Elephas maximus indicus: one gene and its partners. The protein of the gene in region 3 purifies or fractionates together with the protein of the main gene of each other region. This does not show direct contact. Links are inferred from orthologs where the notes say so. Each region holds a gene or a part of one and is shown on either strand. Other genes may lie near its edges.

Region 1 (7,325 bases), on a different chromosome or scaffold from region 3:
AGGTTGAGAATCTCTATTTAACCCATCCGTTTTCTCAAAAGCAAACAGTTGACACAGATCCTACCAACTGACAAGAAGGCAGGAAGGGTGGCAAGGGAAAGCAGGGCCTCCCAGAAGTGGCTACCTGGGCAGGGACAATTGTGTGTACATTACTAAAAAAAAAATGTCTGGAAATCCTATAATGCCATGGAATAATTTTTTATTTCACATGTTCAAGACATTTCCTTTTTTTACTTTGGTCTCCTTTAATTAGATTATTTTTAACATTTGGTAATTTGTTCGTAGACACTAAGATTATGGAAAGAAAATGAAATACTTAACAAAAGTTTAGGGTAAATATTTTAATATAAAAAGAACCTGTAACAACTATACATGCATAATCCATAGATTTCAACATATTCAATTCTCCCCCATTATAGCTCAATGGGTACCCAAGAGGCAAATAATCTAAATTAGATCACAACAATCTAGATGAGAACATACCAGCCAAGGACTGGTAATTTTAAAAATAACACTCAAGGCTAATTTTGAGCAAATATATATTTTCAGTTTACTTCATTTTATTATGTTCTATTATTCCCTTTAGGTTCTGCAACAGTCATTTGAAACATCAACCTCTTAACTGTCAAAAGTTTAAAGCGAAACATTTAATGGTTTCACCCCTTATACTTTGAGGTCAGTAAATAATAGACATCTCAAGGCTTAATCTATCATAGAGACTGCTCTGAATACCAAAAATGGCCATGTGTTCCACCAGAATATGCCATCCATAAAAATATACTTTTTTATAGCTTTATTTCTATCAAGATCACCAAGATCTACCCCTCAGATACATGAAAACATTCAGTTCAGTAACAAGAGAAAGCTTAGGCCCTTGTGGAATTTGAAGTCATGTACACATGAGTTTTCTATTTTTATTAAAATAACACACCGTAAAATATTTATTTAAAAAAGAATGCCTTCTGTCTTCCTAAAGCCTTTGGACTGCTCAGAGGGCAGAAAAGAATGCCATCAAAAAAGAATCAAGACTCAATCAGCACAGGATTTAAGCATATGTAAAACAGTAGTCTACTCAGTAAAGGTTTGCACGTTTATTCTAATTGTCTTCTGATTTCAAGGGCTATAAGTAACTCAGACCCTATGGCGCAAGACATACGCAGAGAAGTGAGACTATTAATATTAACACCAGCAAACGAAACAAGATTAGTGTCAAAAAAAAAAAAAAAAACTTTAAAAAGCCATAATACTGCAATTACAAGTCCTGTGCATAGCTTTTTAAATCAGGTCCCTGAAAGGTTATTTTAATTTTCTATTAAGACCACATGATTCTTTTGAAAAAAGAGAAAAGTAACAGCCAAGAAATGAAGAGAACTATAGCACACTAATCTACTACACTTGGCCAAGAAATCTAATTTACTAAGAAAATATGGGCTGTTCCAGTCATTTCAGTTTGGACTTAAATTTGTTCCAAAGAAACAATGCTCAAAAGCACTTATTACCTCATTTGTATGGAGTTAAAAGACACTAAAAGGGAGTCGTTCCATGGTGACAATATTCACACATGATCTGTAGGGTGAAACAAGATATATCTCTTGAGTTGGTTTTTTTTCTGTTTTTGTTTTTTCCTCAGACAGCTGATACAACTGTTACATAAACATGTATGTACGTCTGAACCCATCGGAAATACTAAGTCACCGCGGAAGCAAACTCTTGAAAGAAAAGTGCACCCCCAAGTAATTATGCATCCGCGGTTCTCCAGGACGAGACTGCATTAAAACAAAAACCCCTTCCCTGATATCTCCCCCAAAAGGGGAGGACAAAAAACTACTTTTTTTTTTTTTTTTTAAATAAAGTCTCTTCTGACTATGTGGGCAACTCCTGTCTGGAGGCAAGATGAGAAGGAAGAGGGAAACAGGAGCTAGGTGAATGGACACAGGGAATACAGGGAGGAGAGGAGGAGTGTGCTATCTCATTAGGGGGAGAACAGCTAGTAGTACACAGCGAGGTGTATATAACTTTTTGTATGAGAGAGTGACTTGATTTGTAAACTTTCATTTAAAGCACAATAAATAAATAAATTTAAAAATAAATAGTCTCTTTTTAGTCAATTGAGCAAAGCAAATGCCATATGGATGAGATCTACCACTATTCCACGGTCACAGAGGGAACTTTTTGCCTCTAAACCATAGTAAACAGTCAACAGATAGTAAGTAACTTTGAAAATACAGAGAGAGAGAGTGAAACATTTTTCACAACAAACGTATGGTTCCTTGAGCGCCTTTTCCAAAGGAGCCAATAACTTCAGCAAACTGTCCCACTGTGCAGAGAATGATGAAACAGGCAGTTATGGCCTCCACTATTCAGAGGCCACAACAGCAGCGGCATCAGGAAGAAAAGGCCAGGTCTATTCCGTCACCAGCCAGGCTCTGCCTTCAGAGCTCTCTTACTTAACAAACTAGGCTCAGCAAGTGAAAGAGAGAGAAGCCTGTCTCCCACGGACATCCTCTTTTCAAAACCTCCCTGGCTGGTCCTGAGGCACGTTGACAAGCTTACCTGGTAATCGTTTGCAAGTCTGCAGAGCTATTTGCCCGGGCAAATCAAATCTGCACTTTTTCCAACGAAATGTGGTGGTGGCTGGACGGCTCATCACCTACACAGGCTTAAACGAAGAGGACAAAGATCCAGAGGAAGCAGACCACAAAAGCAGCATGCGAACTGCACACTGGGATGTCCTGTTTCTTTTGGTGTCTTTTATTTTTCCCATGAGAGGATCTGACTAAACCTAAGCCAGCCTCCTCTAAATACCAGACAGGAAGTTACACTTAGCAGTTAGTGAAAACTCTTTAGGTAGTTGTTTTGTTTTTTTTTTAATAGTCATAACTAGGGGCCTTTGAATGCTCCTCCTGGTCTACCACTGAGAGATTAAAACATTGTTTCCTGTTTTGAAGTGTTAGCTGGTAAGGGGGTACCCTCCACCTACCTCCCTACTCACCATGTCTATAAATAGAGGCTTCTGTCCTGAGTCTACAACAGGGCTGAAGAGTTCGGTTACATATTAACTATACTTCAAAGAATAAATTATACTTATTTTTCACTTTAATATGTATCTATATCTTGGAGGAATAGAACTCAAAAGGCTTTCTTGTTTATCCCTTAGAAATTATTGTTATGAAAAAATAATAAGCTTAACCATACAACACTATTAGAGAGAACCATCTTGACTCACACTTTCCAGCCCATTCAATTCTGTGTCTGCCTGCTCTCTTCCTGTCTCTTGTTGGACATGTTCTCCATAGGAAAACCATTACCCATATTATCTCGCCTGCTTTCTTATTCCTTGCCTCTTTCTCTATTCTGTTTTGAAATACAAACCTTCTATGCACAAAGATTTTCACAGACTATGTAACCTTGATGGAATACCCACAGGTTTAAATTTAAAGCCATTTCTGTTCCTATTCCTGCCACTAGCTGAGGTACAGAAGAGAGAACTCGTCAGTACTTGCCCCACCCTCTCTAACTTAAGTATTTTTCCTGGGCTAGAAGCTGTGTGATTCTGGTAAAACACTATAAGCCTCACTTTCCACATCTGTAAAACGGGAGTAGTGACCTCACCTGTCTCCTAGGACGGTTGTGAGGAGACAGTGAAAAGCAGGGTGAAAAACAATTATGTCACGTAATTAAAGCTTAATTCTCTTTTTCTCTTGGGAGGGGGGTCAACAGCTTTGTTGAGATATAATTCACACACTATCCAATTCACCCGTTTAAAATGCACAATTCAATGGCTTTTAGTATATTCACAGAGTTAAGCAACTATCACTACCTAATTTGAGAACATTTTCATCACCCCAAAAAGCCATCACTCTCCATTTCTACCCCACCTACCCACCCCAACAACCCCAGGCAACCACTAAAATAAAACTTCTGTCTGTATAGATTTACCTATTCGAACATTTCATATAAATGAGATGATGCAATACCTGGTCTAATGTGACTGACTTCTTTCACTTAACATGTTTTCAGGGTTCACGCATGATGCGGCATGTATCAGTACCTCATCTTTTTTTTTTTTTTAATGGCAAAATAAAACTAGTGTTCCTGGAAGGTCCACTTAATGCGCTTGGCTGCTAACTAAAAAGTTAGAGGTCGGAGTCTACTCAGAAGTGCCTGGGAAGAAAGGCCTGGTGATCGCCTTCAGAAAAACCAGTCGCTGAAAACTCTGTGAAACACAGTTGTCCTCTGCCACACCTGGGTCGCCAGGAGTCGGGAGTCGACTCGACGGCTGCTCAACATGAAATATTCCATTGTACGGACACGTCACATGTTATTTATTTACTCATCAGTTGTGAAGCGACATCTCATTGTGGTTTAAGTTGCATTTTCCTTACAGCTGACAAAGCCAAATTCCTATCAGCAGGCCAAAAATGTCTCCATTCCTATAAATCCAAAACCCACTGCCATGGAGTCCATTCCGACTCATAGCAACCCTACAGGGCAGAGCAGAACTGCCCTACAGGATTTACAAGGCTATAATCTTCAGGGCAGCAGACTGCTACATCTTTCTCCTGTGGAACGGCTTGTGGGTTCGAACAGCTGACTTTTCGGTTAGCAGCACAGCTTTTAACCACTGTACCACCGGGGTTCCCTTCCATTCCTATCCAACTAAATACTCGAAACAGAGCAACCAGCCAGGTACAAGCACTGCATAAATCAGAATGCATACCAACTACCGTGCTGGAGCAGGTCCTGAAGGTCCCTAGCTTTAACAGCAGTTATTTTCCAACAGATATGAAAGACCTTCAACATTTTAACAACAGTCTAGCGGTATTGGTGCATCCCAGCTAAACATCGCTAGCCTTCAGATTTAAATCTCAGGAAGGGCTTGCTAAAGCAGTTGCATCTTCTCTACAAAAAGGTTACATAAGAAAATTGGAGAGAAGAAATTCTAAATGTAAATACCACATTTCAATCATTCACATATCGGTTCTCTCCACCTGCCTTTCTGTGTATCTCTTCTTCTTAAATAGAAATAGGATCACTTAAACCATTCTTCTGTAAGTAAATAGCCATAATTACCGATAGGAAGAAATTTTAGACGAGACTGTGATTTAAGTTAAACATTGAGAATCTCCCAAATTTTGAAGGTAGGCAAGGGGAACAAGAATCTAGACACTAGCAAGAGTTTCCTCTCCCCTCTCAAAAACTGTGATATGGAGAGAAGAATTACTACTATTCAAGGAAATCTAACTCACAAGGATTATGAATTTTTTCAGATCTTACCACGTTTGAACAAATTCATGCACAAAGATGTGAATTACCTCCTTCCTGAAACATCCTACTTCTAGGATTTAAAATTTTTTTTTTAATTTCTTTTAAAAAATCAAAGCAGAATAAAATCTCTGTAAAGCATAACCAGGAAAACATGAGAAGGTTATAAGCTTAAAAAACAAAGAAAGGAAAGTTTTCTATTTTCTAATGTAAGGCGTCAGGCCTGAAACATGGATTCATAACATGATTCATCCATTTTCTAAGAAATTTTCCATGCCCCAAGGCTGCACTATGTAATTCATTGTTTCAGTTATTTCTTGGCATACAGCTGACTGTGCAACTGACCGCTGAACTTCCTTGTCAAACAGAACTTTCCATTGTGGGAAATTTCTAAAACATTCATATTAAGCTAAGTGGAAATGTCATCACAGCTCAAGAGCAAAAATGGTCTGTATCAACGAATCCAACTTCTACGGAGGCGGCAAAGGCAAGCCACCGAACAAGCGCAAGTGCGGATGCCTCACTGGAGTTTCTATAAAAAGTTGGTTGTGAAAAGGACAAACACTGTATGATCTCACTTGCTTATATGAAATATGCAAATATAGGGAAACCAAAGCTTATTAGTGGCTACCAGGGGTTCGAGGAAGGGGGAAAGGGGAAGTTGCTGCTTAGGGGAAATGGAGTTTATGGTAATGGTGCTAACATAATTTGGAAAAAGATAGTGAGAACAGTAGCATGGCATGAAGAATACAATCAGTGTCACTGAATTATGTACGTAAAAATTTTGAACTGGCAAATGTTTTGTTATGTATATTTTTAACACTATTAAAAAAAAACTTGATTGTGAAGACGTTTAGGAACAAAGATCAGTTTATTAGAGTTGTTGTTGGGTGCTGCTGAGTCAATTCCAACTCGTAGCGGCCCCACGTGACAAAGCAGAACTGCCCCCTGGGGTATTCTTGGATGTGATCTTTAAGGAAGCAGATTGTCAGGTGTTTTTCCCATGGAACCACTGGGTAAGTTGTAAGAGTTACCTGAGGGTTTTCTGGTGGCGTAGTGGTTAAGTGCTACAGCTGCTAACCAAAAGGTGGGCAGTTCAAATCTACCAGGCGCTCCTTGGAAACTCTGTGGGGCAGCTCTACTCTGTCCCATAGGGTCTCTATGAGTTGGAATCAACTCAACGGCAAAGGGTGTTTTTGTTCTTTTTTGGTTTAATAGGAGGACACTTGTTAAAACTGTTGCATAGTGTCAGACCCCTTCTGCTAGATTACACGATGCCCTCATTTCTAGTTTTTATGAAATCAATAGACCATTTATGTTGCAAGTATCTGTCTAGGGTATGCACTCTCTTATTCAATGTGGTGTTGACAGCAGTAATCAAATTTTGTACATACCACTAGCTCTATTATAGCTCAACGGCAACTGGCCGCCAGCCTAGGTCTACTCTCATCAAAAAGGAAAGAAAGGATTGCAGTGGCAAGAGAATTACAGAACAACTCAGCTGAAACCACGGGAGGTAGTAAAGAAGGGAGAGAGTAAAGCAAAGGCATTCAGGGACTAATCCTCTCTCCACCCAGGATACACGCGCCCAGCAGCGGCAGCGCCGCCAAACCCAGACAAGGGGCCTTGACCATTAAAGGCACACATTTTCTTCATTCCTTCTGTTATCTACAAACCCTCTTGGCTTTGAACATCTTATTATAACTGTCAGTCCTAACTAATGAACCTCACCTGACCCTTGAGAGCAGCAGACAAAAGTAAGAGTCAAAGCACCCCCTCCCGGACCAGGGATTCCACAGGAAATGGAACTCAGGACTCACAGCACTGGCTGTGATGTCTCAAGACACTGGCTCAGCGTGTAGTTATCCTGTATGCACTTAAGCTAGGGTCAAGCAGTTTTTTCAGATCAGAAAATATTAAAATCTTTTGATAGAAACAAGGTTAGCTAAAAAAAAAATGGGGAGAAGGTGAAGATCTGACTTTGAAATTTTATTTGACTTTCATTTCTAGACTGAATTCTCCAAGAAAACCACACTCCTGCTAATAGATGGGAGTCCCTG
Region 2 (7,699 bases), on a different chromosome or scaffold from region 3:
AATCTATAGAGAGACAGCAAACAGAAATCTAATAATTAACAATAAAATTTCAAAATGAGACAACTCATAATTTTTTATGATCCACACAGTTGAACGCCTTTGCATAGTCAATAAAACATAGGTAAATATCTTTCTGATATTCTCTGCTTTCAGCCAAGATCCATCTGACATCAGCAATGATATCCCTCATTCCACATCCTTTTCTGAATCCAGCTTGAATTTCTGGCAGTTCCCTGGTGATGTACTGCTTCAGCCGCTTTTGAATGATCTTCAGCAAAATTTTACTTGTATATGATATTAATGATATTGTTAGATGATTTCTGTATTCTGTTGGATCACCTTTCTTTGGAAGGGCACAAATCTGGACCTCTTCCAGTCAGTTGGCCAGGTAGCTGTCTTCCAAATTTCTTGGCATAGACGAATGAGTGCCTCCAGCATTGCATCCACTTGTTGAAACACCTCAATTAGTATTCTGTCAGTTCCTGGAGCCTTGTGTTTTGCTAATGCCGTCAGTGCAGCTTGGGCTTCTTCTTTCAGTACCATCAGTTCTTGATCATATGCTACCTCCTGAAATGGCTGAATGTAGATCAATCCTTTCTGGTACAGTGACTCTGTGTATTCCTTCCATCTTCGTTTGCTGTTTCCTGCATTGTTCCATATTTTGTCCATAGAATCCTTCAGTATTGCAACTTGAGGCCTGAATTTCTTCCACAGTTCTTTCAGCTTGAGAAATGCCGGGCATGTTCTTTCCTTTTGGTTTTCCAACTCCAGGTCTCTAAATGTCTCATTATCATACTTTATCTTCTTGTGGTACCCTTTGAAATCTACTCAGCTCTTCTACATGGTCACTTCTTCTGCTCACTTTAGCTACTCTATGTTCAAGAGCAAGTTTCAGAGGCTCTTCTGACACCCATTTTGGTCTTTTCTTTTCTTCCTGTCTTTCGAATGAACTTCTGCTTTTTTCATGTATGATGTCTTTGATGTCATCCCACGACGCATCTGGTCTTCAGTAATTAGTGTTCAATGTGTCACATCTATTCTTGAGATAGTCTCTAAATTCAGGTGAGATATACTCAAGGTCATATTTTGGTTTTTGTTTTAATTTTCTTCAGCTTCACCTGAACTTGCATATGAGCAACTGATGGTCTATTCCACAGTTCAAGCAAAATAAATAAATCCATACCTAAACATATCACAGTAAAACTATAAAACATCACTAATAAAATTTAGAAACTACCAGAGACAAAAGACTGGCTATCTACAAATAAATAACAAGTAGACCAATAGCAGACTTTTCTCAATAACAACAGCAACAAAAAAGCCAGAAGATCATAAAATAGTGCTGAAGGAAAATAATTTCAAACTAGAATTTTATAAATATCAACATTGACATCAAACAACATAAATCTTAAGGGAAAAGGCATTATGAGGACAAGGAAAGACACTACAAAATTATAAAGCAATCCACCAAGAAGGTACAACAATCATAAACTTACATGAGCCTAGCAACATAACTAGAAATATATAAAGACAAACTAAGAGAATTACAAGGAGAAACTGATAATTCTACAACCACAGTAAGTGGTTTTAATATAGTTATATACAAAATGGATAAATTAAAAAGGCAAAAAATTAGGTGGGATATAGAAAAATCACAAAAAACTAATATGCTTATCGAACAGTAATATGGAACCCTGCACCCAACAAATAGACAATATTCATTATTTCTAAATACATGTCAAAACATTTATAAAAATCGAGTAAGTCACAAAGGAAATCACACTAGATTACAAATAATCATTTCCATAAGGCCACTTTCTCTACCACAGTGCAATTAAAATAAAACCCAACAATTAAAAAAAAAATTAGTTTAAAAAAAATGTTTGGAAATTAGAAGATATTTTCCTAAATGACTCAGGGTTAAAGTGGAAATCATAAAGGAAATCATCACATATTTAGAATCAAACAATGCAAAGAGAGTATACAATCAAAACTTGATACAGGAGAAAAGTAGTACTCAGCAGAAACTTTGTATCCTTAAGTGCACTTATTAAAATATAAGAACATTTTTTTAATTAATGCATTGATTCAACTTATAAAATTAGAAAAAGAACAGCAAACATAATCTGTTTTCACTAGATTATGTTAAGGGAAAAACAATCCCAAAATCTCAGCAGTTTACAGTAACAAAAGGTTATTTCTTCTTACGATACATGCAGGCTGAAGCAGCTACAGGTCTCTCTGGCTCTGCTCCACACGCCTTCGTGCCAGGGTAAGGCTGAAGGAGCAGCCCCTGTTTGGAACACGACATTCTCCTGCCAGAGGGAAAAGTACAAGAGAGCTGGCAGAAGCATGCAATGGCTCTCAAAGCTCCCCTCTCAGAACCAGAATTAGCATCTTCCACTTCCATTCAAATTTCATTGGCCAAAGCAAGTCACGTGGCCAAACCTAACAATGAGGCCAGGAAATACATGCCTCCCACAGGTAAGCTCTTCACGTGAGCAAGTAACCGGCAGCAGTAATATAATTTACCATAGTATCCTTGGAACCTATTTTTATATCAATCAACTTTCTTTAGGTTAAAACTAGTAACAGCCAAAAATCTTAGTGGCTTAAACAAAGACTTATTATTTCTCATTTGTGATACATGTCGGCTACAGGTCAGCTGTGGCTGTCTTCCATGTAACATCTTCATTTAAATTTCAGACTGAAGGAACATACACTATTTGGGACGTACCATTCTCAAGGCAGAGGGAAAACAGAAAGAAAACTGGTGGCTACATGCAATATCACCTCCATTCATTTTTCATTAGCCAAAGCAACTCAAATGGCTAACTATGATATCGACACAATAGAGGTATCTTCCTTCCCCAGAAGATACTGGCAATCTCATGGCAAGGGCAGGGGTGTTTGTCTGTCTTACAGGAAAGGAGGGCACAAACAGATACAACCTATCTCTTACATTTTACCATAAGAAAATTTTAAAAATCTAAAGCCTACCTCTAAGTTGAAAGAAGGGAAGAATATAAGAAAGATAAAAGAAGAAATCAATTAAATAGAAAATTAAGAAATAGACTAAATCTGTTCTTTGAAGGAAAAAACTAATTACAAATAAAATTCAAGTCAAATGGATCAAGCATAAAGAAAAAGAGCTAATCAACACGGGGGGAATAAAAGAATTACAGATATGGCAAAGATTTTTTTAAATCATAAAAGTATGTTACATATATAATTAAATAACATAAATATGTCAATATATTTCAGAATTTAAAGCAGATAATTGTTTTAGAAAAGGATGACCAAAATTGACTAAAGAAAAAAATATAAGTAAACCAATAAGCATCAAAAAAACGAAATCTGTAGCCAAGATGTCCCAACTACCAAAAAGATAACAGGCTCAGAGAGTTTGACTTATGATAGAGGTGGCTGTCAAATCAGCAGGGGAAGGGATATCCTCAATTAAAGAGTGCTGAAAAACTAGTTACGAAATTGAAAAAAATTCTCTCTCTTTGTTACAGCACACACAGAAACAAATTCCACGTGAAAAGCAAAATTTTTAGAAGAAAATACCAAAACCAAACCAAACCCTGTACGGTCCAGTCAATTCCAACTCATAGCGACCCTATAGGACAGAGCAGAACTGCCCCATAGAGTTTCCAAGGAGCGCCCAGCGGATTTGAACTGCTGACCCTTTGGTTAGCAGCCGTAGGACTTAACGACTACACCGCCAGGGTTTCCAGAAGAAAATACAGGACTATATAATTCCTACTCTGTGATAGAGAAAACTTTCCTAAACCAGACATGAAAATTGAAAACTTGTACACAACAAAGGGCATCTTTAACAAGGGGAAGGACAAGACTCAGACTGGCAGGATGCATTTCCAAAACCCATATCCATCAAAGAGTTAGTATCCAAAGTAGCCTAATTGACCCTCACCGAGTAAAAGGGAACATAAACTGTGATGAAGTCTACAGGTGAATACTCTCTGCAGTCAAAAATAAGCGAACCAGATCCAAAAGTAGCAACATGGTTAAATCTCCACCAATTAAAATTTAAAATCTGCGCCACCCCTTTGACCCAGTAATTCTACTTCTTATTCACTGCAGCAATGCGTGAAAAAACAAAAGACTATAAACAGCTTAAATGCCCACTAGTGAAAAGAGGATTAAATAATCTACAGTGATACAGAAACCCTGGTGGCATAGTGGTTAAGAGCTACAGCTGGTAACCAAAAGGTCGGCAGTTTGAATCCACCAGGCGCTCCATGGAAACTCTATGGGGCAGTTCTACTCTGTCCTATAGGGTCACTGTGAGTCGGTAACTGACTAGATGACAGTGAGTTCGGTTTTGAGTTAGAGTGCATACATGCTACTTGAGAGATTAATAGTTAAGAAGAATTAGGTAGATCCCTCTGCTCCAACATGGAAAGACCTCAAAGACAGTCTATTAGTTTAAAAAAAGTTGCAGAACGATTGGTATGGTATGATGTCATTAACGTAGGTGGGGATCCCTGGTCTTTTCTGTATTACCTATAAACCAAAAAAACCAAACCACTGCTGCTGAGTTGATCTGACTCATAGCAACCCTATAGGACAGAGGAGAACTGCCCCATAAGGTTTCCAAGGCTGTAACCTTTATGGAAGCAGACTGCCACATCTTTCTCCCATGGGGCAGTGGGTGGGTTCAAACTGCCAACCTTTCAGTTAGCAGCTGAGCACTTAACCACTGTACACAGGAGGGCTCCTGTATTACCTATGGGCACATGAAAAGGCAAAAAAAGGTCTGGAGGGAGCACAACAAACTGATAACTGTACTTTCTGTGGAGAAGGGCGTGGCTCAAGGAGGGTTTTGTTTGTACAATTTGAGTGTTTCACAAGCAAGTGTGTATTCATGAGCCCTTAGAAGTGTTGCAGCACAGAGCCACACATATTGTGTACTACACAACTCCAGGAGCGACTCTGATGAAAATGAAAAAAAATTCATTGCCATCGAGTTAATTCCAACTCATAGCGACCCTACAGGACAGAGTAGAACTGCCCCATAGGATTTCCAAGGAGCAGCTGGTGGATCTGAACTGCCAGGCACTCGCTAAAGCTGGGCTGTATACAACCTGCACAACTAGATGCCACAGTCCTGATACTCGTGTAGTTACAAATACATGAAACGTGGGGCTAGGTCGACTTTCTCGGATGATGGCAGTGTTCTACATATTGACTGAGCTAGTAGTTACAAAGTATAAACATTTGTTAAAACTCATCCAACTGTCCATAGGAAATCTGTGCATTTTATCATATACAAATCGTACATCAATAAAGTCGCTTTAAAAATAAATGTAAATAACATAAATAAATATCATACCATTAGGGAAGCCTGGAACAAGACACCCAAAATTGCAGGACCGAGGCACCCGAAAACAAGAACTAGTAGTTACCCTGAAGTGCAGCCCTAGAACTAAAGAGAAAGTATCTCTTCATGACTTTCTCACCCACTCCAAATCTTAGTGACCCTATAGGATACAGGAGAGCTGCCCCATAGGGTTTCCAAGGTTATAAATCTTTAAAAATGTAACTGTGAAGCAGACTGCCACATACGTCACCCGCAGAAGGGCTGACGCAGTGGGGCTGGTGGGTTCGAACAGCCTGCCTTTCGGTTAGCAGCGAAGCACTTAACCACTGTACCACCAGGGCTCCTCAATGCCAAATTTGGATTAATATTACATGAGGAAACTAAGGTATTGAGAGATATATATTAAAGATAGAAAATAAGCAAATAGTAGGTTGAAATTCTACTGGTTCTAAGTCTAGTTTTCTAGACTGAGTAGAAATTTCGTCTCTCGGGCATAGTGGTCACTCAAAGACCTTGTCAACGCTACCTTGACTGCACAACCCCCTGCAAAGGCAGTACCACTCACGTATGATAAAAATTCACACCCAAGCTAAAATCCACTGCCATCGAGTCAATTCCAACTCATAGTGAACCTGTAGGACAGAGCAGAACTGGTCCAAAGGGTTTTGAAGGCTGTAGTCTTTATGGAAGCAGACTACCACATCTTTCTCCCTCGGAAAGGCTGGTGAGTTCAAACCGCCAACTTTTGGCTAGCAGCCGAACGCTTTAACCACCGTGCCACCAGGGCTCCTCAAAATCCTAACAGAGCTCATAAAAGGTCAAGTTTTATTTTGGCAGACAAAGTAACCCAACAGGCATTGCAACCCAGGAAACGGAAACAGCAGCCCTGAGCTCAAGAGTCCAAAAATCCAACCAAGACAGAAGACAGGTAGAACTGACCCTCAAGAATAGCAGATCTAAGATCTGTAGATCTTACTGCAGATCTAAGACCCAAGAACCAAGATAAAAATGAAAAAGTGTTTTCCAAACAAAAATGTTTTTCTTCTTCCTCAAGTGATAGAAAAAGGAGAGAAGAGCCACAATAAAAAAAATCTCAAGCCCAAGAAGCAAGCTGCTCACAGCCAATATGCAATAAGCATGTGAAAGCAGGAGAATGGCCACAAGAAATCACGACTCCACCACTGCTTTAACATGCCCTGATCTAAGAACCTGGGTGATCTCATATGGCAAAAAAAAAAAAAAAAAAGGAACTTGAGGGACCATCAGTCTTCCTAACTGGAGAGTGATCAATACTGCTCAGACTAAATGTGTATCTTCATTCACCGCACAACTCTTGTGGACCAGGCACCGTCCTGGTCAGCTTCCTTTCTGCTGTCAAATTTATTTTTCCCCTATGCCCCTTTAAATGTTAAGCAAAAGAGCTTGCGAAACTCAAATTTCTCCCATAAACTTTTTTGACCCTTCTGCTTTATCCCCAAAACCAAGCAACTCATGCCTCCAATGACCCCATAGTAGGATGAAATAAAACAGACCTAAAGTAAAAGGTATGAGACATAAATTTCAATGCTGCTGTGTATTTTATACGGATACCCTCACAATCAAATTGTCAGCGCCTAAATAGCAAATCCTGGTCGTGTTTAATACTGTTTTGTAGCCCCAGTGCTGACAATGGCTCTCTATCCACAGTAGCTAATCAATAAACGTTTGCTAAGCGTGCAAGGTCTTCTTTCTTAATCCCAACGTCTGGCACAGAAATTTAACAGCAAGCATTCGCTAGCTGCATCCTGCTCTATCTCAGGACACTTTCCTTTTAAGGGTGACCTCGGTGAACAGGTTTACTATTAGGCGCCTCGGGAAACAGTGCTTTGGGGTGATCTGAAATAAATTCCCTTCCCTCTGCCAGGGCCTGCCTGCCTTACCTGCCCTCTGCCAGGACCTGCCTCTTTCGCCCCCTTCGGCACCTAACGCAGAGCCTCTTCCTCGCGAGCCCGGGCTCAAGCAGCATCTGCCCGGCGGCCGCAGCCCCGGCTCCGCGCCGGGTGGCCACAGCGAGCTCGGGACGCCGGAGACCCCTCCCCTGCCGGGCTCAGGGTCCGGCTGCGCTGGCTCCGCTCCATCCCCTCCCCTGGCCCTCCAGGGCCGAGCGCCACGCGCCGTCTCCCTTCCCAGCCGCGCGCGGTGCAGCGGCCCCGGCTCCCGCGCGCCGTCTCCGCCTCTCCCGGCGCTGCGCCCCCAAGGCTCCGGAGGTCCAGGCGCCGCGCTGCTCTCTTCCCGCTCCCCCGGGGCGCGAGGCTCGAGCAGGCGCTTCCCTCGCCCGCAGGCTCCGGCCGCCGCCGCGGACTCCCCACCATA
Region 3 (7,671 bases):
GCCCGACGGCTCGGACAGAGTGCGACCGCGGGCCGTGTCCTGCACCCTGGTCACCTTCCTGGCCTCTAACTACCCCCGGGTCACCAAGGCCCGCCCGGACCCCCAAACATGGGGAGCCCACCCCACTCCGCGCGCCCCCTGGCGCCCGCCCCCGGCACTGCCCGCTCAGCCGTGACGCAGAGGCCACCGCCCTCCGGCCTAGCGCGGCTCGGCCACTCACCTGCGGGGGGCGCCCGGCGGGGCGGGGGCGCACCGGGGCGGGGCAGCAGCAGGGGTTGCCCCCGGGCCAGCCCATCCCGCCGGGGCCCTTGCCGAGCGGGACCAGCAGGAGGAGGGGAGCGGGCGCGCCGCGCTCGGCCGGCCGGGCTCCCTCCCACCCCGCCGCTCCCCGCGGCCACGGCCGCCCTCTCCCTCGCCCCTTTCCTCCCTCCCTCCTTCGCCCCGGCTCCAATCCCCACGTTCCGCCCGCTCCCCGCCCCCTCGGCCTCTCTCCTTTCTCCGTCTTCTCTCCACCTTCTCCCGCGAACGCAGACTCACAAAGAGACAAGAAGCAAGAGGAACGCAGAGACGGTCAGAGGAAGAGTCAGGGAGAGACTCTGACAGGAAGAGACTAAGAGATCGGGAAAAAGATTTTGAGAAAGGCATGGAGAACACAGGGACAGGAAAATTTCAGAGACAGGGAGAAACCCAGAGATGGCAACAGACAGTCGAGGAGAGGCTGACCTGGAGGGACACAGGCAAAAAGAAACACCCGAGCCAGACAGACGCCGAAGGAAAGGTGGACATTGGCCCCGTAGGGAGTAGAATCAAAAGTGCCGAGAACTGCCCGGTCTCTCGCAGCCTGCCCCCTTCACAGGAGCTTGTTTGGCACTGGGCTTGACCCCAAAGCCCCAGCCGGGACCCACCCGCGGCCTGGCCTGGTGAGGCCAGGCCCATCTGCCCACGGGGCGCCAGAATCAGGTGAAGACACCTGGTGTTACTTGTGTGCCAAGTTGCCTGACACCCTTTCCTGGTCCTCTGCCTCACGGGAGACTTTGATGTCACCTATGCCTGCAAAAGGACTCACACCAGAGGACCCCATATTGTGCTCAACCAGTGCCTCCCCACATGCAGCTCCAGTCATCCCAACCATTGCCCTACTTCGGAGCTGGATGGTCATTCCCACTCCTTAGGAGACATCTGTTCAAGAAAGTCTTGCTTATATTTAACTCAAGTCCCAGGCTTCCCCAATGATGATTAAAGTTCCTTCTATAATCTAACCTCATTCCCTTCTTTTGCAGTTTCTGGATCTAGTATTGAATAGGAGCTTCCTGAAATGGAGCTAAATGGGTGCTGAGGGTGGTTTGAATTGTGCCACCCTGGAGGGGAAGTGGGAGGGGAGGGATGAAAGAGGGGATGTCTTCCTAAAAGCTCTGAGCCTACTGCCATGCCCAGATTCCCTAACGTTCTTTAACAGTGAGCACTTCCTGAAACTTCCTCTCTCCCTCACCCTCCCCACTAGAATTTCCATGATGAAAACTGGTAAGGGGGGGCTCAGGGAGGGGGGAAGGTGGATTCTGGATTCTGAGAATTCAGTGCCCAGGGCTCAATGCCCAGTGCCTGCTCAAAGCAGCCAGTGCCCCCAGCGCTAAGACCCTCTTTCCCTCCCTGTCCCATCTTTCAGCTGGGTCTCTTTCTGTCCTCATCTTGCCTCTGGCAGAGGCTGGGAAATATGGTTCCTATTAGAAGGGGGTGGAGCACCTGAGTCCAAGTTGGCGGCAGGGAGGAGACTGAAGCAGAGCATGGTGACAATGTGGGTCCCTCTGAAACCAGCCTTTGGCGGGGGCTGGTGTGGCTGGGATGGAGCCCTGGTGGTGGAGTGGCTCAGCTGTTAACCAAAAAGTCAGCAGTGTGAATCCACCAGCCACTCCTTGGAAACCCTACGGGACAGTTCTACTTTGTCCTGTAGGGTCGCTATGAGTCAGAATCGACTTGACAGCAGTGTTTTTTTTTGGGTGGGGTGGGGTTGGTATGGCTGGGACTGGGAAGCTTTTATTTTACCACTCTTGGCTGAGTTGGTGTCCAGTAAGCAGTTTCAGAGGTTAGATCAGTGAGAGTCACCAGGGTCTGGAGGAAGGGCTGGGGGCTAGGGGTGGTGATGTGGTGGGGTCTTGGAGGGAAGGGGTAGAGACACAGGGAGGAGGCGAGAGGCAGAGTTAAGACAGAGAAGAGTGGCAGAGATTGGAGGCTACTGGGGAAAGGGCAGGACTGAAGGTCATGCTGTGTATTTTGCCAAGATTTGATTACATAAGCAAGATACAGATGATATGATTTCCTTATGTCTTTGGAGCCTACAGCTGGCTCTTAACATCTTGCCCTTCCCAATGTTCATTAGGGTCTTTGGCTGGAGACTAGGATGCATTTCATGTGGGTATTGAGGGAGAGATTGGGACTCGGAGAAGAGGATTGGATCCCAGAGAGGTGGGTAGAGCTAGGACCTCACACATGCCGGTATTGCTGCCTTGACTGATGGGCCCACAAGAGGAACTTCTGAGGTCCTGAGAAGTTGGGGGAGGGCCACAAGACAGGTAGCTGAACTCCCAACTCAAACTTGAATCCTACTCTCAACATGGAGACTAAGGGTTGGGGGAAGGAGGCTGCAGGAAAGAAGCTGATGAGAAGGTTGGGAGTGAAAAATCTTATAGAAGGTGGCTTGGTGGGAGTGAAATAAAAATGGGTGGTAAATGAAGCCCAGCCAGGCACTCTGATTAGCAGCTCAGAACAGTGGGAACTTCAGAAGGGAGGGGGAGAGGAAAGGGAAAGCCAGGAGAATGTTAATGAGGGTGAAACAATTTTAGGGATACCCTCTGACCCTCCCTCCATGTAGGTTTTCTTACCTTGACTATGCAGAAGGCAGCCCATCTTGGCACCAAAGGCTGAACCCCTTCTTCCATAGTCTGGGGTGATCCCATGCCTGTGACTGCGTGTGCTCAGATCCTTGCAGTGGTAGGGGTGCTACAGAAGAGGGACATTGAGGGTGTGGGGGTGTCCTGGCTGGAAAAGCACTGGGTCAGGGGAACTTCGGTGGAGGATTTAGGCGCTGGAAACCAGGAAGAGCGGGGGAAGGGGATGAACTGACTCCAGAGGCGGATCTCCTGGCCCTGAGGACAGAGGGTGTATTGTCCAACCGGGAGGTTGCTGCAGCTGGGCGGGGAGCAGCACAGCCCGACCCTTCCAAACTCCTTTTTGAGGAGTGGGGTGGGTGATGAAAGGCAAGTTCCCCCTTCTTCACTTGTGGCCCTAGGGGCTACAGTGGTTGCTGAGAAACAAGGATATGTGACAAATACAGCTTCCCAGGAGCAGCAGTGCAGCTCTTCCATTTCCTGAGAAACCAGATGCTGTGAGCCTGAGTAGCACTTGAGGCGACGCCCTCAGCACTCACCCAGACCCTCATTGCCTTGTAACGCAGAACACAGTTGTTAGCGTTGGATTGTTTAGGGGACTGGAATACACAGGGAACTCGCCCAGCCTACAGCTGAGATGCTGCACCCATATACCCTTCACCCACCTTCCTGTTTGCTCATGATTTACAGTAAACTGAGAGTGCAAGCTGGCCAGTCCTGGGATCCATTTCTGCTGCTGGGCTTCTAAGAGGACCCACACACCCTGATATAACTGAGGATGTGGGGCACAGCAAAGCCTATAGCTTTTCCTGGAACTTAGGAGTCCCTGGGTAGCACAAATGGTTACCTGAAAGGCTTGTGGTTTACACCCACCCAGAGGCACCTCGGAAGGCCTGATGGTCTGCTTCAGAAGGATCACAGCCATCAAAACCATGGAGCAAAGCTCTACCCTGAACCATACGGGCTGCCATGAATTGACTCAACGGCAACTGGTGGTCCTAGTTCTGGAGTGCCTCGTTCCGTACCTTTTCTGTGCACAACCCACATAAGCCTCTTTAAGTCAGCCTTTCTGCTTTTGTCTGCCTTTTCATCATTATTTACCCAGACCTCACTATTTCACAGGAGGGGAGGGACTTAAACTGGAGGCTTGGAGAATGAAGGTGACCAAGGCCACTTCCTGTGCCGCAGCTGGGCAAACAAGCACTGTTTTATAGGCACCACAGGCAGCCTGAGCAGGGGCACCTTTTCCTCCCTACCTACACCCACACTGAATGGCTTCTGTATCATCACAGCACACTGAGCCTTATCCCTCAACTTGCTGACTTTGGAGAACCAAGATCAGCGCATGAAGAGCAGCTGCTCCAGCTGGCCCTGTGAGGCAGTTTAACTGTGTGCCCCTTCTTCACATCCCTTGGCTCCAAGTCCCCCAAATTGACTGAAGCTTCCTGGGTCTTCTATGCTCCACCCCTCGTGACCTTAAGGACTCTCTGCCACTGTCCTAACTCCTTTTCTACTTTGCAACAATGACCAGTCTGTTCTTCTGTTTGGAAAATTCCTGCTAGGTCTGAGGGATGATCTCAAGCGGCCTCAGTTGTGGTAGCCCAGGCCAGCCTGTCACCCAGAACTTCATCCCACCAGAGCGGGGTAACCCAGCAAAGTAACACCTCTGGACTGAAGTAAGGGCAAGCGTTTGCAGAGGAACTGACCCATGCATGTGAAGATTTACCCTCGGGACATCTCATGCCTGAAAGGTATACTACAGGCAAGCTCAGCTGATACAGTAAAGGTTAACCTGGAGGGGAGCTGGTGTGAGAGTTGTCTTAGGGCTTCAGTAAGCATCAAAATAGATTTCTCTTGTAAATCTACCCTCTGGTTTTGCACAAAACAGATCTAGTGCTGAAGGAGAACTTTAGAGATGGTGGGGATGGAGCAGGCTGGGGTGTCAATGTGAGTTCAGTAAAAAGCAGTGGGAGTGGGGAGCATATGTCAAAGAATTTCTGCATTAAAATGAACTTTAAAGATCAGATTTATTTGGAGAAAACAAAAAAACCCACAACCCAAAGGATGGGGATTTTACATCTCCCAGGTATTAAGTCTACAGATTACAAATCATTTTCATAGAAGATATTTTTGTACAAATTTTACATGTATTCAGGAGCTGGACATAAATCAATCAGTTTCTGCTTTAACAGGAGGGCAGAGCAAGGGAACGGGAAAGAACAGCTCTTTTGGACACAACTATTTGGAAGGAGAGTAGGCATGAAGAGGGTAAACCCTACTTCTCATTATCTACAGCAAATGGTTTTAAAAATAAAAAATTTCAACCTTGTGTCTCTCTCTCTAAAAGCCCATTTCCTAGTTTCTGACCAATCCATGCTCATTACTTAAAGTTAATTTACTTGGTAGAGCTTTCCTGCCCACTGGGTAGATGATTCATTATGCTTAGTGCCACGGCGAACCAACCAACACCCCTGCGTGGCCAACCTAGGGCCCGATGGCAGAAGGGCTTGCAAACAAGAGACCAAGGTGTCATTTCTCTGCAGGTACCACTGGAAGGACACCATCTACCAAGGTGACCCGTACAAAGGCGCATATAAAAGCAGGCAAGTTAAGCTACTGTGTTGTAAGAGAAACCAGGACCTTGTTACAGTTCTGTCATTTATTCTCTCAAGTGAAGCTAAACACGCAGGCATACATGCACACGCACACACACACACACGTCTAGGCCACATTATAAAACACTCGTGTGGGATTATCAGTGGAGAGAAGGAAATGTGTTAAAAAAAAAAAAAATCAAGGTTGTTAAGGCTCTCAATTTAACTGTCCCTATTTATCTACTCTCATTCACCACCAAAGACCATTAATTCTGAGTTTTCTGATCTGTAAAAGGGGTCAAAGTAACAGGAGCAGGCCCGGCTGATGAGAAGGAGTGAGAGAATAAAGACATCAAGGAGCCCATTCGCTTGAGAAAAACAGTGATTCCTCACCTGACAGCTTCCAGAGGCTGAGATACAAAATGCCTAAAATCAGGTATGTGACTTACATAGAAGCTGATTTTCTGGGATGTAACAATAAAGAACAGTGTAAGGAACACTAAGATAATGACAAGTCTAGACCTTTATAAGCTTCAAGGCTGACAGAACGTGGATATACTTGAAGTTTCAGAAAAGAGTGTTTAGAAAGGGCAAAACCAGGACACATATGACCCAGGAATTCCCACAACACCTAAGTGCTTCCTACTCCAGGAAAAAAAACCATTCATGTATTTATCGGAGGTCATACCATTTCCCTATTACCTGGTGCAAAAGAAATACTTGCCAAAGCTTCTTGATTTTCCCATATTTTTGGTCACCAAGCAGTCCTATTCTTTCACAAAGGCCTGTAGACTCACTCCCTACTACCCCCCTGGGGGGTAAAAATGGAAGAATTCCCCCTAGGCTGGCCCCAGGGACTAGCAGCCTCCCAGAGACTAAAACAACCTCAGAGACTATTTAACCTACCTTCCAAGGATGGACAATTTATTGAGATAATGTTTCAGAATTCATATATGCCACAATAGAATAATAAGAATTAAAAGGTAGAACTCTCGCGCTCTCCCTTATACCTGCCCTACCACGGCACTGGGTTTGGGTACTGCCCAGCCAGCTTCCAGACACTGAATCACTGTCATTACCACTTCTGCTAAATGGAGGCCTCTAGACACTAATCACACAGACAACTGCATGGTGTCATAAAATGCACAGCTTTTCCTCTGGAAGCTGCGTCTTTTTCTCTCTGGCGACATTGGTGATTCTCCAGTTAGTTCAATACTTTAAAGGCTGCAGCAGCATGCAAAAGAATTTCATTAAAAAAAAAAAAAAAAGTTAAGAAAGGTCTCCAGGAGATGGTGAGTTTTATTTTGTCGTGTCTGGACAGAGGTTTGATTTGCTCTTGAATGTTCCAGGGTGGAGAGAGACTAGGAGAAAGCACAGGACATAGAGGTCTATTCGGCGTAATCTTCTCCCTCGTTTTCATCTTCACCATCAACTGAGAGAGCAGCATACTTGCTTGCAGAACTGAATTTCTGTAACAGATTAGAGTGAAAATAACAAAGGCCTTGAACTCCCACATCAAAACTCAAGAAAAAGAACACAGATACTTTGGCAAAAGGAGAATGAATGCCCAGATTACAGCCACTTGCTCATTGGCATAACTGTAGTCACACAGCATCTTTTACCTTCATTCCGTGAAGGAGCGAGTGCAGTCAAAGGTACAAAAGGGGAAAACCAATTTATCTACCATCAGTCGCCACCCAAGACCATTCATTCTAGAGTTTTCTGACCTATAAAAGGGGTCAAAGAAACAGCAACAGGCATGGCTGTTTGGAAGGAGTCAGAGTAAAGACATCAAGGAGCCCATCTGCTCTAGAAGAACAGCAATTCCTCATTTGACAGCTCCCAGTGGCCGAGATACGAAATGCCTAAAATCAGGTATGTGGCTTCATGTACTATTTCAAACAAACACCAAAGTCTCATTTCCAACCACTCTACTTGTAGTCCCAAATGTTAAGGAGTCCAATGGCAAAAGTGAAAATATCAAGATCCTTTAAAAGTGGCATTTCAGAATAAGTGTGACCTGAGAGAAATTGAAGCCTTTAACACGTACAGAGGCTGGATTTTCTTCAGGTTTCTTTGGCTCAGGTGCAGATCTAGAGTCTTGATCCTTTTTGCCATCTTTCCTGCAGAGATTAAGCACAAAACCCCATCTTTAGGAGAGGACCCCCCTGACCCCGCAACTCTGAGGCACTGAA

The links.
Region 1: the proteins of TNS2 (region 3) and UTRN purify together in Homo sapiens (affinity purification with mass spectrometry; 4 studies listed by BioGRID and IntAct, with this or other methods). This does not show direct contact. The link is inferred for Elephas maximus indicus from reciprocal best matches to the Homo sapiens genes TNS2 and UTRN.
Region 2: the proteins of TNS2 (region 3) and DTNB purify together in Homo sapiens (affinity purification with mass spectrometry; 3 studies listed by BioGRID and IntAct, with this or other methods). This does not show direct contact. The link is inferred for Elephas maximus indicus from reciprocal best matches to the Homo sapiens genes TNS2 and DTNB.

Annotation. Positions count from the first base shown.
Region 1 is NC_064819.1:214,931,453-214,938,777, reverse strand, and holds the start of UTRN (utrophin), read right to left. Parts: upstream 3,095-7,325; 5' UTR 2,648-3,094; coding exon 2,554-2,647; intron 1-2,553.
Region 2 is NC_064830.1:43,591,052-43,598,750, forward strand, and holds the start of DTNB (dystrobrevin beta), read right to left. Parts: upstream 3,047-7,699; 5' UTR 2,355-3,046; coding exon 2,209-2,354; intron 1-2,208.
Region 3 is NC_064822.1:108,563,663-108,571,333, reverse strand, and holds the start of TNS2 (tensin-2), read right to left. Parts: upstream 3,090-7,671; 5' UTR 2,952-3,089; coding exon 2,877-2,951; intron 395-2,876; exon of another isoform or gene 296-394; coding exon of another isoform or gene 221-295; intron 1-220. Other genes in the region: EIF4B (eukaryotic translation initiation factor 4B), read right to left, coding at 6,865-6,945, 7,527-7,599. UniProt on the Homo sapiens protein: Tyrosine-protein phosphatase which regulates cell motility, proliferation and muscle-response to insulin. Phosphatase activity is mediated by binding to phosphatidylinositol-3,4,5-triphosphate (PtdIns(3,4,5)P3) via the SH2 domain.